Macaca fascicularis: one gene and its partner. The protein of the gene in region 1 binds, or shares a complex with, the protein of each later gene. Links are inferred from orthologs where the notes say so. Each region holds a gene or a part of one and is shown on either strand. Other genes may lie near its edges.

Region 1 (4,280 bases):
CATGCCCAGCCTTGATTGTTGTTTCTAACAAGTCTTAAAAGACACCCAGACTTCAACAATTGTTACTATATTCAGATTTTTTTGGTTTGTTTTTGAGACAATCTTGCTCTTTTACCCAGTCTGGAGTGCAGTAGCATGATCATGGCTCACTGCAGCTTCAAACTCCTGGGCTCAAGCAATTCTCCCACCTCAGCCTCCCCGGTAGCTGGGACTACATGTGCGGTATCATGCCTGGTTAATTTTTAAATTTTTAGAGATGGGGTCTTGCTATGTTGCCCAGGCTTCTAGAATCACTCTTCATATTACTCACTAACACTGCCTCCACCACATTAATACGGCAACAGGTCTAGAAATTATTTAAAACAAAAATTTCCAATGTTTACATTGTGTGATGTATGTATGTATGTATGTATGTATGTGTGTGTGTGTGTATCATTCCAAGGTACTGTTTCTAATTTTTTCCTGCAGAGAATATTCAGTATTGTATCTGCATTGGCTAGCTGGTGATTCTATTCACCATCACATTGTCCCAGACTGAATCTGAAGACAAAAAACCACTTTGGGAACAAAATCTTTTTTTTTTTTTTTTTTTTTTTTTTTGAGATGTAGTCTCGCTGTCTCCCAGGCTGGAGTGCAGTGGCGTCATCTCGACTCACTGCAAGCTCCACCTCCCAGGTTCGCGCCATTCTCCTGCCTCAGCCTCCCGAATAGCTGGAACTACAGGCGCCCGCCACCACGCCTAGCTAATTTTTTGTATTTTTTAGTAGGGACAGGGTTTCACTGTGTTAGCCAGGATGGTTTCCATCTTCTGACCTCGTGATCCGCCCGCCTCGGCCTCCCAAAGTTCTGGGATTACAGTTGTGAGCCACCGCGCCCGGCCAAGGGAACAAATTCTTGTCTTCAACAAAGAGCGGTCTTGAGTAGGCATAAAAGTAGCATTTGAAGGTTGGGCGCCCAGCCTTGAATAGCTTTTTACATGCATTGCACGTTATTTCCTTTTATTATCACGTTTTTTGGGTCCAGTCTTAAACCTGGGAAGGCATTCGTTTGGGAGGTCACACTGGCGGGCATCCTGGTTCAGGCGGAACCCAGACTCTAGAAAGCGCGCGCGGAGCCACACGGTCAACCCTGTCCCACTCCTGGCCCTCCCACACCGTCCCCTCCGCGGAAGCACTCCCGCCTCCTCTCGCTCAGGCACTGACTGAGAGGCGGAGAGATGGGTGTTAAAGAGGGGATATCACCAATCAACGTGCGCCTCCGGGAAGGAGCGCTTCGCACTGGCTGGTTGGGTCTGACGACGTGGCCACGATCCAATCCTCATGCTAGAGGCGCGGCTAAAGGGTAGGGAAGCAAGCAGAAGGAGGAGCGCGCCGGGTGCGAGCACGTGACCGGGGCCTGAAGCCGGAAGCTACCTATCTGGTAGGGAGCTCCACCAGCACCGAAGACTGCGATGGTGAGTGAGGACGCATGCGCGGGAGGACCCGCCGGGGGTTCCGCGTCTCTGCTCCCCAATCTGTGTGGTTTCCCCCTCGTGGGTCTGCGCTCCACCCTCACCTCCTATCCGCTCGGGGAGGAAGACGGGATGGAGATGGGAGGGATGGCGACGGGAATGCTGGGGAGGGGTCTGTGGGAGGGTGTTCTGGGGCTGCGGGTAGTCTGCAGGTCAGGGGCGGGGAGGTGGAGAGAGGGTCTGGGGGCAGGGGCCAGTGGGGCAGCGAAGTCCCCTCGGAGTAGCATAGGTGGAGCGTGGAAGGCCAGGGGAGCCCGGGGGCCGAGAGTGGGGGCAGATGGAGGCTCGGGAAGATCAGTATTGAGGACCATGTAGGGGGAAGGGAGCCGGGAAAGGACCTGGCTGGGGAATGAGAAAACCTGGGGCCATCGCCAATCAAGAGACTTGGGTTTGTAGGTGAAGGGTATCAGGGGCCATCCATCCCTCTAGCATGCTTCTCACTACTTGCATCTTTACCCACTAGACTTCTGCACTGACCCAGGGGCTGGAGCGAATCCCAGACCAGCTCGGCTACCTGGTACTGAGTGAAGGTGCAGTGCTGGCGGTGCGTTCTGGAAAAGGGAGGGGGTCCCTTAGTGCACACAGCCCGGTAACCCCTTCTAATATTGGCCCTTCTTTTCTCGACTTTTACCTGGTTTGCGGTCTGGCATCTATTAGGTTGGTACAAAAGTATTTGCAGTTTTTGCAATTACTTTCAGTAATCAGTCTGTGGAATCTTAGTCTCCTAACGGTTGCGGTTTATTTATTTATTTATTTATTTACACTTTTTGAAACTGAGTTTCATTCTTGTTGCCCAAGCTGGAGTGCAGTGGTGCGATCTCCGCTCACTGCAACCTCCGCCTCCGGGGTTCAAGCGATTGTCCTGCCTCAGCCTCCAGAGTAGCTGGGATTACAGGCATGTGCCACCACGCTCGGCTAATTTTTTGTATTTTTAGTAGAAACGGGGTTTCACCGTGTTAGCCAGGCTGGTCTCAAACTCCTGACCTCAGGTGATCCACCTGCCTCAGCCTCCCAAAGTGCTGGGATTACAGGCGTGAGCCAACATCCCTGGCCTTTATTTGATATTTCTTAAAGAGTCATTTGTATTTTGTTCCATAGTACTGTATAGTGTTAGGTCTCTAGATGTTTTTGATTTAGCTAGAGACAAAGCTTAAGGTTAAGTGTTGAAAACAATACAGGTGGTAAAAGACTATTGAAGGAATCCAGGATATTAAAAATTCAACATGTTATGACAAGGTAACTAACTTCCCTGGAGGTAGGAATTCAGCCCAGCTTAAAGGAGAGTATTTACAGTGGGGAGGTGGACATATTTGCAGGTGTGTGGCACTGACCTTTCTAAACTGATGGTAAGTCTGTGCTGAAAAGATTTGGGAAGATTTGAGGGAAGAGGAAGATATGGTCAGGGAGGATCTGATTGTGAAGGATCTTCAAGGCCAGGTTAACACACTTGAACTTATTCTTCTTGGAGGTAATACAGCTTGAAAGGTTTTTTAAACAGAAACAAGACCCAGTGAGGTGGTTGAGCAATATTGTTGTTAGTGATGTGAAGATGGGCAGAAGGAGGCATCATTAAGAGATTAGACTGGGCCAGGCATAGGTGGCTCAGGTCTTTAGTAATCCCAGCATTTTGGGAGGCCAAGGCGAGTGGATCACGAGGTCAGGAGAGCTAGACCATCCTGGCCAACACGGTGAAACCCTGTCTCTGTTAAAAATACAAAAACAAAATTGGCCAGGCGTGGTGGTGGGCGCCAGCTACTCGGGAGGCTGAGGCGGGAGAATGGCGTGAACCAGAAAGGCGGAGGTTGCAGTTAGCCAAGATTGCACCACTGCACTCCAGCCTGGGTGACAGAGCAAGACTCCGTCTCAAAAAAAAAAAAAAAAAAAAAGAGATGAGACTGGGCAAGTGGCAGTAAGAAGGAGCAAGGAGAGAAGAGTTTTGTTTTTGTTTTTGTTGTTTTTTGAGACAGAGTCTCGCTCTGTGGCCCAGGCTGGAGTGCAGTGGCATGATCTCAGCTCAGGGCAACCTCCGCCTCCCAGGTTCAAGCGATTCTCCCGCCTAAGCCTCCTGAGTAGCTAGGATTACAGGCGTATGCCACCACACCCGGCTAATTTTTGTATTTTTAGTAGAGATGGGGTTTTGCCATGTTGGCCAGGCTGGTCTCGAACTCCTGACCTTGTGATCTGCCCACCTCAGCCTCCCAAAGTGCTGGGATTACAGGCATGAGCCACCGCGCCCGGCCCTTTTTTTTTTTTTTTTTTTAGGACAGAGTCTTGCTGTCACTCAGGCTGAAGTGCAGTAGTGTGATCACATCTCATTGCAGTCTTGAACTCCTGGGCCCAAGCGATCCTCCCACCTCAGCATCCCAAGTAACTAGAACTATAGGCAAGCACCACCACGCCCAGCCATTAAAAAAAAAAAAATTTATAGGGACAGGGGTCTTGCTATGTTGCCCAGGTTGGTCTCGAAGTCCTGGCCTCCATCAGTCCTCCTGCCTTGGCCTCCCAAAGTGCTGGGATTATAGGTATGAGCTACTGTGCTTGGCTGGGAGAAGATATTTTAAAGGAGGAATCAGTATATCTTGCTAATGACTAGAAATAGGTAATAAAAGAAATACTTCTCTAGCTAGAACTCTAAAGCCTGGAAGAGTGATGATGCCTTAAGAAACATGTTCCTTAAGGCCGCGCGCGGTGGCTCAAGCCTGTAATCCCAGCACTTTGGGAGGCCGAGACGGGCGGATCACGAAGTCAGGGGATCGAGACCATCCTGGCT
Region 2 (3,816 bases), on another chromosome or scaffold:
CTCTTGTGTATTACAGTAATTTAAATTAAATTTAAAATAACTTTAAATTAACTACCTTCAAAAAAAAAAACTTAGTTTCAACCTAATCCTTATTTGAAATTAAAGGTCAGATGGTTTGGTTATGTTTTACCTAATACACATTAAAATATGTAACTTTTAAAATAAAAGATGGGCCTGGCATGGTGGCTCACGTCTGTAATCCTAGCACTTTGGGAGGCTGAAGTGGATGGGATCACTTGAGGCCAGGAGTTCAAGACCAGCCTGGCCAACATGGTGATAGCCCATCTCTACTAAAAATACAAAAATTGGCCAGGCCTGGTAGCACATGCCTATAATCCCAGCTACTTGGGAGGCTGAGGCTTGAGAATCTCTTGAACCTGAGAGGCGGAAGTTGCAGTGAGATGAGATCATGTCACTGCACTCCAGCATGGGGCGACACAGGCAGACTCTGTCTCGGAAGAAAAAAAAAAAAAAAAAGAGTAACTTAACATCAATTGATTAGGAAACATAGCTCTAAAGCACAAGGAATTAATTCAGTCTTAAGAAAATATAGCTTGAGATCAAGAGACATGTAAAAACTAACTTCTTTCCCACAAATAATAACCTCATTTATTACATATATATGTTTCCAAAAAATGAAGGAATTAGTAGCAAGAGCAAATTTAATAAACTTTCAAGGAAAGTTTTTTTTATCTGTTACTACAACAAAAAAAGTGTGTCATCTGAGAAATCACAGTTGTTTAGCTAAGGGCACCATCTACTGGAGATAACAGTGACCTGACGTACACTTTTTAGGATAACATGTACTTTATTAAGTCACTTAATTACTTTTCCATCGTAATTATTTCCTGGTATAAAATGTGAAGAAAATTACTACCGTTTAACACAACCAATTTGAAGGCTAAAATTTTACAATTTCATCCCCTTCAAAACTGAAATTGAGAACTATAACACAAACTATTTTATATATAAAAGGTACAAAAATGACAACTGAAATCAGCAAATCATTTGATAATTATGAACTTACCTGGTAGGTGTTATAGTAACAGATGATACTTTTATTTTTTGAAAGTCCAAGTTTGCTCCCTTGGTCTGTTGCCAGGGCAAAAGTGGATAAGAAACCAGGTCGCAAAGCATGCTCCGGAGCATTGTCATTGGCCACTAGAAAAATAAGTGATTTAAATAAAAATTATGCAGAGGATATGATAGAGAGATTTACAGCCCTTTTTCATAAACCTCTGTTTAAAACTGAGCACAAAGGTTATGTTTCACAATATTGAAAATCATATCACTAATGGGGTCTCATCACTAATCAGGAAAAATTGCTCAGTCAAAAGTTCACTGATCACAATAGAAGAAATGCTGACTCTCACAATTTTTTTAAATTTTAAAAAGAAAATTAAATGTTTACCTTTTCTTGATATCTAACTTAAAACATAGATTAATCAAGCACATTTAACTGGTTATCTGAGGACTAGGTTAGAATAAACTAATGAAAAAAGTTACAAAACTTCTGCTCTTATAAAACCCACAGCAAGGAATATCTCTCATAGATATTAGCAATCTGCAGCTAGTTACCTGTTTCGTGTTTCTCTCACTCATTAAAAGGTCTGCATGGAGTTTGTTGTATTAATGAGTGCAGGGCTCAAGGCTTTAACACAGATATCCTCATGAAGAACATTAGAACTGGAAAATCTGAGATTATTTTGTTCAAATCCCTCATTACAGAATTAAGAGAAAGCAAGTAATCTGTCCACAACCATTCAACGACCATTTTATAGTGAGTTAGAAAGCACACTGGACCACACATCAGGAGATGATGGGTTCTGTTACTGACTCACGCCCGACTTTGGACTGCAATGTTTGAAGATTATAAACCACAGGACCTCCTTTGTTGATATTCCATGTTCTTATAATGTGTTTGTCAAAATTCTCCCAGAAATGGAATCAATGTCTATTATAGAAATGTTTATAATCTTTACAAATTCATGCAGTTTATTAATAAGAATCTAAGACACAGCTAACTCTCCACTGAAACTGCTAATGAAGTCCAAGTGTCTTTGCACTTTATTACCTTCACTTATAAAATGAAAGAACTAAATCACTTGACTTCTAAACCTCCGTTCATTTCTAAAGTCTAAAATTATCTGACATATATGACAACTCCAGGTGGAAAATTGTACACGAAATATACAGAACATTATCCAATCTTTAATGTTTGATAAAGCCATTACAGTGTCCCAAAAAAACTAGGAACATCCATGCTCATAATACCATAAAATAAAAATAGTAAAAAATTGTCTGAATCCATACTGACTCTCTGTGACATCATGTTTACTTATGATTCAAATACATGGGTATTATCCTAAAACAACTAGCAATTTGATAAAGTGTGTGTGTGTGTGTGTGTGTGTGTGTAATGTAGGGGTGTCTGTGTGTTTATCTAGCTGCCTACATGCTCACTCTCATCACTTAGATTTACTAATGGTTTACATTGCACTGTAAATGTCTTCAACGGGAAATGGGTCTGTGATAAATCCATGCTTAAACTCTAGATGTTAACATGATACACCTGATATATAATACACTGTAGATTCAAATTCAACCTTCAGCATACAAAAGCAAACACTTCCGCCAATACTAAGACCACCATCTCCTAAAATTTACTAAAATGAATTTTAGATGTTTGCCTGCTGTACTACTCAGATGTAAATTACACGCATTTTTAGTCAAAAGCAAAGAAGATATTTGCATTTAAATGTTCACTTTTACCTTTAATAACAGGTACTCCATCTCTATCTGATACAACAATGGCATGGAGCCCTTCAACACTAGAAAAAGAAAATAGTTAAAATATAAAAAAAGTTAAAATATAAAATATTTCATTTTCTCAAACTATACACCTCAAAGACATAATAATTCTCATGTATTTTCTGAAAAACCACAGGACCCCAAAATTCTCCCAGAAATGGAATCAATGTCTATTATAGAAATGTTTATAATATTTATAAATTCATGCGGTTTATTAATAAGAATCTAAGACAAAGCTAACTCTCCATTAAAACTGCTAATGAATGATCAGTCCATGGTTTACAAAAGCATGAAAGATTATCAGCAATGGCTGCAGTGACAAAAAAGAGCCTTCTTCTTTTTTCATTCATGCAAATATTAAATGGCCGGTGTTTGTGGCACTTAATACTTTGATACTATGAAAAACAGAAATAAGCACAATCATTGCCTTCACGTGGCTTCCGATCTAAAAAGTGAGTGTGTTATCAATAATCTCACAAGAACAAACGTAAAACTAAAATTGGGGGCAAGTATTGTTAAAAAGTTCATAGGGGCCAGGCATGGTGGCTCACGCCTGTAATCCCAACACTTTGGGAGGCTGAGGCGGGCAGATCACGAGGTCAGGAGATCGAGACCATCCTGGCTAACACGGTGAAACCTCATCTACTGAAAATACAAAAAAAAAAAAAAAATTAGCCGGGCGTGGTGGTGGGCACCTGTAGTCCCAGCTACTCAGGAGGCTGAGGCAGGAGAATGGCATGAACCCGGGAGGCGGAGCTTGCAGTGAGCTGAGATCGTGCCACTGCACTCCAGCCTGGGCAACAAAGCAAGACTCTGTCTCAAAAAAAAAAAAAAAAAAAAAAAGTTCATAGTGATATGAGAACCTAGAAAACAGGAGGTTGATGCAGACAGAGAGTGGACCAGGGAAGGCTTTCTGAGGCAGTAATATCTCAGCTGAGATGTTATGGTATTAAGTGAAAAGACGTGGAAAGACTGTTCCTGGCTGAAGAAACAGGGCAAAACGAA

The links.
Region 2: LAMTOR4 (region 1) and LAMTOR3 share a complex: the UniProt entries of both Homo sapiens proteins name them as parts of the ragulator complex. The link is inferred for Macaca fascicularis from reciprocal best matches to the Homo sapiens genes LAMTOR4 and LAMTOR3.

Annotation. Positions count from the first base shown.
Region 1 is NC_088377.1:48,815,666-48,819,945, forward strand, and holds the start of LAMTOR4 (ragulator complex protein LAMTOR4), read left to right. Parts: upstream 1-1,376; 5' UTR 1,377-1,450; coding exon 1,451-1,453; intron 1,454-1,973; coding exon 1,974-2,054; intron 2,055-4,280. UniProt on the Homo sapiens protein: As part of the Ragulator complex it is involved in amino acid sensing and activation of mTORC1, a signaling complex promoting cell growth in response to growth factors, energy levels, and amino acids.
Region 2 is NC_088379.1:105,526,431-105,530,246, forward strand, and holds part of LAMTOR3 (ragulator complex protein LAMTOR3), read right to left. Parts: intron 2,832-3,816; coding exon 2,773-2,831; intron 1,162-2,772; coding exon 1,028-1,161; intron 1-1,027. UniProt on the Homo sapiens protein: As part of the Ragulator complex it is involved in amino acid sensing and activation of mTORC1, a signaling complex promoting cell growth in response to growth factors, energy levels, and amino acids.